3 linked regions of the Canis lupus familiaris genome follow. The main gene of each other region encodes a partner of the protein of the gene in region 2 in a complex. Links are inferred from orthologs where the notes say so. Each region holds a gene or a part of one and is shown on either strand. Other genes may lie near its edges. The genes, in order: CPEB1, PIN1 and SMAD2.

Evidence for each region.
Region 1: the proteins of PIN1 (region 2) and CPEB1 are in contact, whole or in part, in an NMR structure (PDB 2N1O), measured with the Homo sapiens proteins. The link is inferred for Canis lupus familiaris from reciprocal best matches to the Homo sapiens genes PIN1 and CPEB1. Residues at the interface, in NP_006212.1 of Homo sapiens: Arg17, Tyr23, Ser32, Gln33, Trp34, Glu35; in NP_001352172.1 of Homo sapiens: Arg206, Ile207, Ser208, Pro209, Pro210, Leu211, Pro212, Phe213.
Region 3: the proteins of PIN1 (region 2) and SMAD2 are in contact, whole or in part, in an NMR structure (PDB 2LB3), measured with the Homo sapiens proteins. The link is inferred for Canis lupus familiaris from reciprocal best matches to the Homo sapiens genes PIN1 and SMAD2. Residues at the interface, in NP_006212.1 of Homo sapiens: Glu12, Arg14, Met15, Ser16, Arg17, Ser18, Tyr23, Phe25, Trp34; in NP_001003652.1 of Homo sapiens: Pro218, Glu219, Thr220, Pro221, Pro222, Gly224.

The regions. Positions count from the first base shown.
Region 1 is NC_049224.1:54,906,359-54,909,870, forward strand, and holds part of CPEB1 (cytoplasmic polyadenylation element-binding protein 1), read right to left. Parts: intron 1,464-3,512; coding exon 1,211-1,463; intron 1-1,210.
Region 2 is NC_049241.1:51,560,372-51,564,657, forward strand, and holds the start of PIN1 (peptidyl-prolyl cis-trans isomerase NIMA-interacting 1), read right to left. Parts: upstream 2,801-4,286; 5' UTR 2,653-2,800; coding exon 2,595-2,652; intron 592-2,594; coding exon 379-591; intron 1-378. UniProt on the Homo sapiens protein: Peptidyl-prolyl cis/trans isomerase (PPIase) that binds to and isomerizes specific phosphorylated Ser/Thr-Pro (pSer/Thr-Pro) motifs.
Region 3 is NC_049228.1:43,687,442-43,691,440, reverse strand, and holds the start of SMAD2 (mothers against decapentaplegic homolog 2), read right to left. Parts: upstream 2,805-3,999; 5' UTR 2,707-2,804; intron 2,321-2,706; exon of another isoform or gene 2,237-2,320; intron 1-2,236. UniProt on the Homo sapiens protein: Receptor-regulated SMAD (R-SMAD) that is an intracellular signal transducer and transcriptional modulator activated by TGF-beta (transforming growth factor) and activin type 1 receptor kinases.

The sequences.
Region 1 (3,512 bases), on a different chromosome or scaffold from region 2:
TCCACTGTTCCACCTACTCAGAGCCATGTCCCATCACTGCCGGTGTCTCACAGCACCTGAACGGACACTGGGCCTTCCTTGATGCCAACACTGTAAGATAATGGATATTCCCCCACCTACCCCACTTCCAATTTATACCAAATCCGAGCTTGTCTAAACTCACAGTGAAGTTTCTCTGACTTAAACACCTTGTTAAGAAACCACTCTTGCTCTACAGAGTAGAAACTATCTTCTGTTTGGTCTATTATAAAACCTAGAGGCCTCTCCGTTCTTGGCAACCAGTTTGGCCTTTGACCTGTCTCAATTTATGCCTTTCCAGACCAGAGACTAAGCTCAGTGGGGACTGGCTCGTTCTTGCCCATTTTAGTACTTCAGCACTGGGGCAGGGCGCCAAAAAACCATCACTTCCATCCAGGACAATGACATGGAAGCTCATTCCTTAAAAGGCACAGATCCAGGGTGCTGCTACGCCAAGAACTTGGGTACCATCAGCAATATTTTGCAAACAAAAACATAAATCAATATAACGGCCCCATCCAAAAGCAAGGTAATGTCATTTCACAGGCAAACAGTGGCACTAATACAATCATGGGCTGCCAAAACCTTTAAGTGAACAGGGCAGCAGAACTATCAGGGGAGAATGAGATCAGGTCCAGTTTTGTGATGGGACAAATGTACTGAAGCCTACAAAAAACAAATGGATAGAGAAACTGAACATTCACTTAGTTATCAACTCCAGAACCTCAGAAGAGCAGTCGGTGAGTATCTCCTGGAAGCCTTGGTAAACTGATTGATACCAAACAGAAAGCCTCAGGGAAAATAGCTCCAGCATAGGTTATATATCTCACAGGTTTCTGAATTAGAAAGGGGAAAGGTGGAATTCTGGGCATCACTTCCAGGGTATCTCCTGAAGATGCCCACCCGTGAAAAGAATCAAAAGCTACACTGGTACACAGCCAACCTCCATGAAAGACCACAAGGAAGAGATGCCTCCAACCCCATACGGGCACAGCGTCTTTCCTCTCTGTTCAGCCTCAGAGAAATTCCTGAGTTTGTCCCATTAGTACTTACCCCACAAAACAGACCAGAGACTTCACCACACAACTAAGTCCCTCTTCTGGACAGTTCACCAGTCTAGGAACTAAGGTCACATACTCCCTGTGCCCAGAACAAGGCCTCAGGCCCCACGCATGGCCACATCCACACTCACCTGCAGCTTGCCGGTACAGCCTGGCCTCTCTTTCTATGCTGAACGGGTCTTTGGGAGCTTCGAGGAGATCCCAGGATGGCCACACAGAAGCTCCTGGCCATCTCTTGGATGCACTGGTTGGGGAGGGGCTGACCGCAGCGAGAGCAGCTTGCTCTTGGTCCATCCGGGACCCAACCCCCATCTTTAAAGGGTCTCTGGGACCACCCCCCGTCAGAGACAGGAAGGGGAGTGGAGGGGAAATTCGAAGGCTTGACTAGGGAAGCAAAAAGGAAGATACAGGTTTTTAAAGGACAGTTTTGTTATAAAATCAATAATCATACTCTATATAGAAATTATACCAGTTAGGTCTGATATTTTCTTTTAGGCTTTCTTCTTATTCATTTTTGATTAGTTGTTCTATGCTATAATTTAAACAAATACTTTTCTCCCCAATTCATTTTTTTTCATATTCCCAGGCAGTCTTCATAATCATTTTTAATTAATTTATGATAATCTATTTAGGGAACATGCTACATTTCGCTAACCTACTCCCCTACTGTTAAACATTTAGACACGTTCCAAGTTTTCAGGATTATAAATACAAACTTTAAGGTATAACTTCTTGCTTTATATGTATGGTGGGTTTTTTTCTAGGTTCAATTCCTAGATATAAAATGCCAACATGCTTTCTATGAGGTTCTGCTTTCTATCAGAAATGTATGAGAGTGTGGGTTTTATTATAAGCTTATGTCAAAGTACTAAATTTTACTTAAGTAGATAAAAATGATACATTATCAAAAAAAGACCCCACAAACTAATTACTCAGAATATTTCCTGTAAATTCAAATACCGCCTCTTTTTTCCTTTTTTGAAAATTTTAAAAAAGATTTTTACTTAACTATTCATGAGAGATAGAGAGAGAGAGACAGAGAGACATAGGCAGAGGGAGAAGCAGGATCCCTGCAGGGAGCCCAATGTGGGACTCGATGCCAGGATCCAGGGATCATGTCCTTAGCCAAAGGCAGACACTCAACCACTGAACCACCCAGGTGCCCTTATTTCTCTCCATCTGTTAGCTGTCTGCTCATATCCCTTCACCAATTAACCCTTGGGAGTATGGTATCTGAGAAAATTCTTTAAACAAAATCCCAGAATATCAAATTTAGTTATGAGGTAAATTTTCAAGACAGAGTTCCATCTGAATTATTATTATTATTATTATTTTTAAATATTTTATTTATTTATTCATACGAGACAGAGAGAGAGAGAGAGAAAGGCAGAGACATAGGCAGAGGGAGAAGCAGGTTCCATGCAGGGAGCCCGATGTGGGACTTGATCCCGGGACTCCAGGATCATGCTCTGGGCTGAAGGCAGATGCTCAACCACTGAGCCACCCAGGCATGCCCCCATCTGAATTAACATAAGCAGAACCCCAAGCATCCAACCCTATTTTATAGGGGAGTAAACTACAGTCCAGAGAATCAAAAGGACCTGCTTGTTATTACCCATCTGGAAACATAGCCTAACAGATAAAACCAACAAGCAGTGGGAACACCTAGCTTTCATATTCTAGGACAGGCTGACAGGAGACAGACAGACCCTAAAAGTTCACGCTCTGGATAGTAAACTAACCACATCCAAAGGTACCAGTCCTGGATATAGAAGAGAAAAGGGCAAGAAAAGCCATCCTATTCACTGAATGGTCACCGGACAGGGGTTTGGCAGGGGAGAAAGGCTCAGAAGGCACCTGAAATTGTATTTTATTTTATGATAATTTCTCATAGTCATTCCCATGTATTTACTTCCACAGTCTCCTATATCCCTCATCTATTCTCATCCATTTGCTAATCCTACTTTAGCACATGTGCCTCACCTGTCACACATGGCTGTGGATAAAGAGCATGTGCTATATAAATTAACTCTGAGGCACCAGTTCATACATTCATCATGGCCTCAAACTGACAGGTGGCATGGGTAGGTAAAGAGGATAAAGGAGCTACAGTCAGCCTGACTGGGTTTAAAATTCTGGCTCTGATAATTACTAATGCATGATTTTTAAAATCTTCCCTTAGAAATTTTGAGATAACACATGTAAAGGTACATAAATGGTTACTGTTTCAAGGCTAAAGAAAATCACCAAGCAGGCCAAGAAACAGAACAATGCAAGAACTCCCATATTAACTTTTGAAATTAACTTTCTCAAAGCTCTTGAAGTAACTTGTAAAAAGAGACTCTGCTGCTTGGGTCCTGAAATGTATGGCTTGAGGAGTGTATAAGGCACCCTCTATTCCGTAGAGAATAAGTTCCATACACGTTCGCAGTG
Region 2 (4,286 bases):
ACACACCAGGTATGGGCAGGTATGTGACAACACCCATTTTACAGAGGGGAAAACTGAGTCTCAAGATGACACAAGCTCCCCCTGGAGCTTACAGGGCATAGCCACCATCTGAACCCAGGGCTGCCAGCCCCCAAGGCTGGGTCCTCCTCTCGTAACCTGGCTCACCCTCAAATGCCAAATAGAAAGAAAAAGGAGAGGCAGCTGTGCAGTCCAGGCTCACGTCACGTACAGGCAGTTCGGTGGCAGCCAATGCTGACAGCTGAGTTAGCTGGGGTGCAGGGCCTGGTGTGATTTCTACGAGGCTGGCTCCAGCTCCCAATGAGGGGACAACCTCTCCCCACATTCCCCCCACTCCAACCTGCTTCCAACTCTGCTCACCATTAATCAGCTCCAGGGCCTCCTCCTTGGTCCTGGTGATCTTCTCCTGTCGCCAGGATGAGGGCCGCCGGGACTGGCTGTGCTTGACAAGCAGGTGCGAGCAGCGGACCCTGGTGGGCTCCCCTTGTCCATTTTTGCTGCCACTGCTGCTGTTGCCACTCGGCCGCTCCCACTGGCTGGCATTAGTAATGTGATTGAAGTAGTATACCCGGCCTGGAGGAGGGGGGATACAGGAATTCAGCTGGGACCTGCTCAAAGGACACCACCCGGAGGCCAAGATGACGGACCGGCCAATGGGATTCCTTCATTCAACAAATCCCCTGAGTCCACCTCGAGCTACAGGCCCCGAGGGAGCCAGCATTCTAGATGGGGATGGGCAGGCCCCAGACAAGCAAATAAGACAATGTCATAACTTCAGTTATTAGTGACTTCAAGGAGGAAAACCACCCAGAGTGACAGGAGAGACGAAGCCGGTGTGGGGACAGGCAGCCAGGCTGCCTGTTCAAGTCTGGCTGTCACTCACTGTGTGAGCTAACCTCTCTGGGCCTTGATTTTGTCACCTGTAAAATGCAGATAACAACAGTCCCTGCCTGTAGGGTTGTGCTAAGGACTGAGTGAGCTCACAGCGGTAACACACTTAGACTAGTGCCCAGTACACATTAGGAGCGTGACAGCTATCATCTCCCTGTAGACGACAGAAGTGAGGCCTCACCTTCCACACCTTTGGAATGTTTCCTGAGTGTACACTTGGCCCCAGGCACACATGGCTGGAGGCAGGAATTAAACCCAGGTTGCCAAACATGAAAGCTCTGTTCTTAACCCGCACCCAGTGTACAGCGCTGCACAACTATGGACCAGCAGTACAGGGGGGTCAAACGTTACCCAGGGCCCAAGGAGCAGGAAGGAGGGAAGGCCACAAGAGAGAAGATTGAGGTAGAACCCAGGAGAGCCCAGGCATCATTCCAGGGGCTGAGATTTTTGCACGACTGGCACCCAGCACCGTGAAGAACTGAAGGTCACCCCTGAGGAAGACCATTAGGGTGGAGCCGAGCAGAAATGGCCAGAGAGGGGGCCCAGAACAGGGCAGAGCATCAGGATTCATGCTGTCAGCTGTGGCCACGGAGCAGGGCTGGAGCGGGCTCAGTGAGAGCTGAGCCAGTGACCGACCCTAAAACCTTGCAATGGCCTCTCTCTCCATGAACCTTGGTTTTCTCATCTGAAAAGTGGGGGTGAAGCGAGAGATTAAGGACATAACTTCACGGGGCTAATGTGGAGAACAGTGATGATCCGTGCAAAGTGCTCACCAGAGGGCCTGGCCTTCAATGAGCAGATATCACTGTGACTGTGATTTTTATGGGCTGGGGAGGCAGTGCGGTGAGATGCTGGGCCTGCTCCTCACTGGTCTGCAGTGACAAGGGCAGGCGGGCTCTGCTGTCAGACTGACCGGACTCTAATCCAGCCCCCACCCCCTGAAATGAATGACCTTGGGGGAGCTCCTTAAGTTTTCTGACTTCTGCTTCCTCACCTGCAAAACGGGGTGATAACTATCCACCTCCCAGAGTTGTGGTCATTCAGAGAGAGAGAGGGAGAACACACTCCAAACACACTTGGCACAGGGCTGGGCGGTAAGATGAGCGTGCGGTTACGGGTATTATTACTGTGGATAAGCCTCAGATCGGGCTCCCGGCACAGGGTCCATCCACCGGGCGGCGACGACAGACTCGGGTTAGGCGGGGATGGCCGGCGGGTTAGCAGGGGCAGGTTGTGGGCCCGAGGCCCGGCAACGCTCTGAGGCCACGCCCTGAGCGTGGGGTTGGGGTGTCCTTCCCCGGGGTGCCCCCCGGGCCCAGCAGGGTGCAGACACGGTCCCCGGGGACGTCGGGTGCAATAGGCCAAAAGGTGTCAGCCGGATCGGCAGGGCCAGGGCCATCACCTGGGGGAGTGCTGCGGGATCCCCGGCCCCCCGCCCCCGCCCCCCCCACCCCCGGCAGCGCGCTGGGTCTCTCCGGCCCCGCCCCTTGCCTCAGTTTCCTCCGGCATCCCCGCTCCTGAGGTTCGCAGCCCCCACGGGGCGGGCCCGGGCCGTTACCCTGGGAAGACGCGGAGGAGCCAAGACCCCACGGGAATCGGGCGGCGGCGCCGCGCCCCAGGGGCGAGCTCGAGCCCTGCTTCCGCGGGCCCGCGCGGCCCCGCCCCAGCCCCGACCCCCGCGGCACCTGAGCTGCGGCTCATGCGCTTCTCCCAGCCGGGCGGCAGCTTCTCCTCGTCCGCCATCTTCCCTCCTGCCGCAGCGCCCGCTCCGCCTCCGCCGCACCGCCTATGCCGCCCGCACCCGCCCACCGCCGCCGCCGATTGGCTCGGCCCGCCTCGCCCCGGGGCCCGGCGACGATGCTCATTGGGCGCCCGAGCAGTCCGGAGAGGCCTTCGGGCTTTCTATTGGGTAGCGGCGAGACTGGGCGGACCCTCCGTGCGTTCTACCGGGTCCCGCCCCCGTACGGCCTCCCCCGGATCCCGCCCCCTTCCTCCCTCGGCCGCTGACTGGTAGGGAAGGGGCTGGAGCCCGTCCTTCTCCACAGCCTCCGGCGAGCTTCACAGAAGTCCGGGCACCTCCTTTGCGTCCTTCGCCGCAGGCCCCATCCGATTGGCTACTGCGGCAGTAGTTCCCGCCTTCCTCAGCCGTTCCCGGAGGCCCGCGCCCCCTTATGCGGAAGTGTCCGGGTGGTTTCGAGGTGACGGCAGCCCACGAGGTACTTGAAAGAGGCGGTGCTGCCTTAGCTGTTGCCGTAGCAACGCAGTTGCCTTGGTGATGAGCAGCGAAGAAGCCTAAATTTGGCTCCTCCATCCTCCTTCTCCCCACCTGTTTCCTCCAGATGTCCAAAGCTGTCCCCCCACTTTTTTTTTTTCTTTTGCGAGACTAACCCTTTCCCTGTGCCACTGACCAAACATCTTCTACTTCCTTTGGAACCTACTTAACTTATTCTCTCGGTCTGGCTCCTGCCTCTGTCCTGGGTGACTGGTGGGTGTTGGCATGGCCACTTAGCTGGCGACACAGGAGGATGCGTCTGTAGGAGGATGATGAGCTCAGTTTGAATCGTCTTAAAATTGAGTCTGCGGCACCTGTGGGACTCTGGGGAGGTGCCTGGGGACAGGCTGGAGATAGATACGAGAGGCAAAGACACCAACAAGGAAGAGTTCAATGATAGTTCATCTAGAACTAGACCCCTATGTGACCATTGAAAAAGAATGAGGCGGGGATCCCTGGGTGGCTCAGTGGCGTAGCACCTGCCTTCAGCTCAGGGCGTGATCCTGGAGTCCCGGAATCGAGTACCACATCGGGCTCCATGCATGGAGCCTGCTTCTCCCTCTTCCTGTCTCTGCCTCTCTCTGTGTGTGTCTCTCGTGAATAAATAAAATCTTAAAAAAAAAAAAATGAGGCACAGTCATATAAAACATGGGAAAACATGTCTACAAGAAATAGGATATAGTAGGTTAAGAGCATTCAAGAGCCAGATCGCTTGTGTTCAAAGCCTGGCTATGACTTTGAAGAAACTAATCTCTGTGTTTCAGCTTTTCAGCTTCTCCATCTGCAAATGAGAATAAGAAATATATATATCTCATACATACCTTTGATGCAAAAATTGAGTTAATCTGTAGAATGCTCTCCAAACAGCGTCTGCCTCATAGCAAAAATATGTTTGATGAGTGAAAAGAAAAGCTAGTCACTGTACAGTGTAGCAATTATAGTATGTATGAAAGCATAACAAATCAACAAACATTAATTGAAAATAATTAGTTATAGAAAGATATCAAAGCATTAAAAAAAACAAAAAGGAAGCTGCAGAATATGTATAATTATCTTAATTGTGTAAAAACTATATACCAAAATTTCTGGATTCATTCAAATATGT
Region 3 (3,999 bases), on a different chromosome or scaffold from region 2:
AGCCCCCATCTGCCAGACTGCACTAAATACAGCTTTTATATGCATTACAAAAACACCTGTATAAAAAGCTGCTACAAAACAAGGCCTTTGGAGCCCTAAAGCACAAAACCAACAGAATAAAAACCAAACAAGAATAAGGGGAGCTTTCAGACATTTATAAAAGCCCAAACTGAAAATATTTGCTAAATATAAAAATGGGTCTTTGATCAGTGGATGATGCAGCTCAACTGTTTTTCACTCACATATCTCCCCCCAACGTGAAGTAACAAGATTATGGCAATATGATTCTAATATTTACAGTAGGAAAATGAAAAGGGGACCTTTTGCCATCTTGAAGTAGAAACCAGCTTTGTTCCTATTAAAGAGAAAGGACTGCTGAAATACACAAAACCATCCCCAAATCCCTACTTAGTTAAAACACATACCGGGCCTGACAAGCCACAAACAACAGGAAATTACCCTGCATGGTTTCTTACAAGACTATTATTACATGAACCTTACAGACTGTGTAGAGATTTGATCACTTATGCCTAGGCACAGGTAAGAAGTTACAGCCACGAAAACCTAACTCTTGCTGAACACCTACAATGTGAAAGCACTATAGAAGGCATAGCTACAAAGTACAAAAGCGAAGCCCAAAGAGCGATTTCTTACTAAACAAGCCCAGAAATGGATGTTTCCTATCACATTTATAAAAACTGGCCACTGAACTACCTTAAACTCAACTTTAAGAGAACTAAGTGAGCACCTGGACTCAAAATATTCTTATTTACTACCGTAACTAGTTTTATGGCAAAAACTAAGGAACCTTAAAAATAAAGTCAGCGTTACTTTCTAAATTTAATGTAAATGTTTGGTAAATGACCGTCTGATTCAGAAAAATTCCACCAATATCCTGTATGGTTTTTTTCAAAGCAAATGAAAAAATAAAATCTTCAAACTAGGACACATTTATGAAATCCGTTTCACGTTATCTCTCCCAACTGTTACATTTGCTTCCCTTATCTCTTTATTTACATTAAAACTCCTCAAACTTCATTTAACTATTTAACTTACACTTCTACCTAAGAAAAACTTTTTAAAGGGAGTCAAAATCAAAAGTAGAACAATAGCAAATGTATTTTCAGAGTGGTAGCAAATTTGTTTTCTTATTCTGCTCAAGGAAAAACTTCCTTACAATCAGTGGTACAGGTTCAATTCACACAAAATTCAGAAGGAAAATGGAAAGGAACTAAGACTGCAGAATCATTAAAAATTCTGTAAATTAACTCAGATTTTGGGGGGGGGGGCACTTTCGAAAAATGGAATAACTCCAAGCAGGTCTGCAGTGACCATTTATTTATTCATTAATAGTTACTTTACATGTGTTACTTTAGAAGTTCAAGACAGCAAAATTGAGGACACTTAAAAGTGTAACAAACAAGACACGGTTTTCACGGAAAATGCTACTTCCAGAATCGTTCCACCCGGAGATGGTTTTTAAAATAATGGTTTAATGAACAACCAGCCGGTAGTATTTAGCTTTTAAGGGGTCAAGAGGAAGGAACACCAAAACCAACCTAGGTATTGTTTTTTCTTTTGTTTAGGATCAAAAGGAAACCATAACCACAGAAAGGTTAAGTAAGTAAAAGGCAAAAGTACCCAACCCCAAGGACAGTATCCCCCAAGAGAGAACAAAACCATTAAGGTTGCAAATGTGTAAACCAAGTTTGAAATACGTGAAATCAATTAGCGTGCTTTCTAAAAGGCGTGTGATAAAAACCAACAGGCTCCACTCCCAGGGCAACTTTCACAAGTGAGTGCAGGATCTCCACGGAGGATCAGCCGTGTGCCTGCTTGTGCAGAGTACACGCGAGCAGTTCCGAACCCCGGGTTTAGAATGGTTAACAAAGGTTACAGGACCAAAAAAAAAAAAAAAAAAAGTGGAAGCGAAGTATCGCACGCTCCTACCAGGGCTTGCCAACAACTCCCGAAACAAGAAGAGCTCGGTCCCTCCGGCTTTGAAAATCAGAACCACAAAGTACGAAGCGTGTTCGCGGCAGGGGAGACGGGCCACGGCCGGGCAGCTCCGGCGCCGACCCAGGCCCCGCGCCCCCCCGCGCCCCCCCGCGCCCCCGGCCCCGACCCCGCCACACCCCGGCCCCCAGGGCCGTGCGACGCGCCGAGCCTCGCCGAGACCCGAGCCCGACGCAAACACACCCCTACCCCGAGGGCCCGCCGGGCGCCGCCGCTTTACCTGCACCGGGGCTCCGGGTCCCGCCCCGTCAGAGCCGGGGGTCCGGGACCTTTTGTTCCTTCCTCTTCCGAATGGGATGAGGGGCTGGGAGGGGAGAGGGGAAGGGGCGACTGGAGGCGGAACTGAAAACACTCCCGCGGCCGCCCGGCCCGGCCCGGCCCGCCCCGCCCCCCAGCCAGTGCCCGGCCCGCGGCCCCGCGCGCGGGGAGGGGACGCGGGCTCGGCCACCGCCCGCGGGAGGGAGGGGGTGGGGACGCGCGTCCCGCCGCCGCCGCCGCCGCCGCCGCCGCCGCCGCCGCGCCGCGCCGCCGCCCCTCCTCCCCTCGGGCGCGAGCCCGCCCGCATCCCCCGCCCCCCGCCCCGGGCCGCCCGGACGGCCGAGCCCTCCCCCGCCGCGCCCGCCGGCCCACCTCCGCTTCCGCCCTGCGCCCTCCGCCGCCGGCCGCAGCGGCGCGGCGCGGCGCACCCACCTTCGGGCGGCTGGCTCGGCGCTCGCTGGCTGCTGGCTGGGAGCTGCTCCGCCGCCGCCGCGGCCGCGCGGTAGACCCGCCTCCCACCCCGGGCCGCGAGCCCCGCCGATTCGCCGGCGCAGCCCCGGGGCTGGCACCCTGCCGCCCGCTGATTGGCGCCCCCGGCCGCCCGTTAGGGCGCGAGGCACGCCGGCCGAGCGCAGCGCCCGGCGCGCACGGAAGACGGGGCGAGCGGAGGAGGGAAGGAGGGAGGCCGAGCGCCCGGGAAGGGCCGGGGCGCGAGCGGGGCTCGGAGACTCGCGGGCCACTACCTCCCCACCTCCGCTCCCTTCGGCCGCCCCGCCCTCCCGGCCGGACCGGCGGCGCGCGCAGCCAATGAGCGCGCGCGGTGCTCGGGGTGTGAGCCGCGCGTCGGGGGCCTCGAATCGGAAGGGAGACGTCGCTCGCTGATTGGTCCCGCCTCCCCCGTAGAGCGTGAGGCGAGGCGCGGCCGCCGGGCGGGCGGGCGGGCGGCCGGGGCCGAGGCGGGGTGGCACGCCCGCGGCCTCGGCTGGCGACGTCTGGGGCGCGCTGCCGCGGGCGGCTCCGCGGCGGGAAGGCGCGGGACCTGCCGCGCTGCCGGCCCCGGCCCGGCCCCGCCCCGCCGTCCTGCCCGCGCCATTGGGTGGGGCCCGTGGGCCGCCGCCGAGCCCACCGCCCGGACCCCGCCGCGAGCGGACACGTGCTCGTCCCGGGGGAGGCCCGAGGGCCGCCTCGAGGACGCGCCGAGCCGGGGCCGGGCCGACCGCGCCGAGTGAGTGGGCGGGGCCCTCGTGCAGCCGAACGGGGCGGGGGCCGAGCCGCAAACCGGCGCTGGCGGGGCTCTTCTCCGGGCCCCCGCGGCGGGCGGGGGGATGCCAGGTGTTTCTGAAGAGCCGGGACGTGGTTCCGCCTTCGCGGAAGGTGGTGCGACTGCCGCATGCTCCGAGAGGCCCTCGCCAGGTCTAGACGCTAGGAGCCTAACACGATGCTCCTCACCGCTCTCTGGCCCTCCCTTCCTCCTCGTTTCTCCGGCGTCCAGGCGGTGTTCGCAGGCCCCGACCCGGAGGCCCTAAGCTGCCGGCCGCCCAGGCCGTCCAGGCCGCCCAAAGCCGGGGGGGCGGCTGGGCATCCGCACTGCCGTAACCTTGTCGCTTTGACCCTGCAGACACCAAGCCTCGGCCGGAAGCATGGACCCCGACTAATCACGTTCAAGTATTTACTTACTAAGCATCTACTATGTTTGGCGGCGAGCACCGTAGGACTACAGATGAA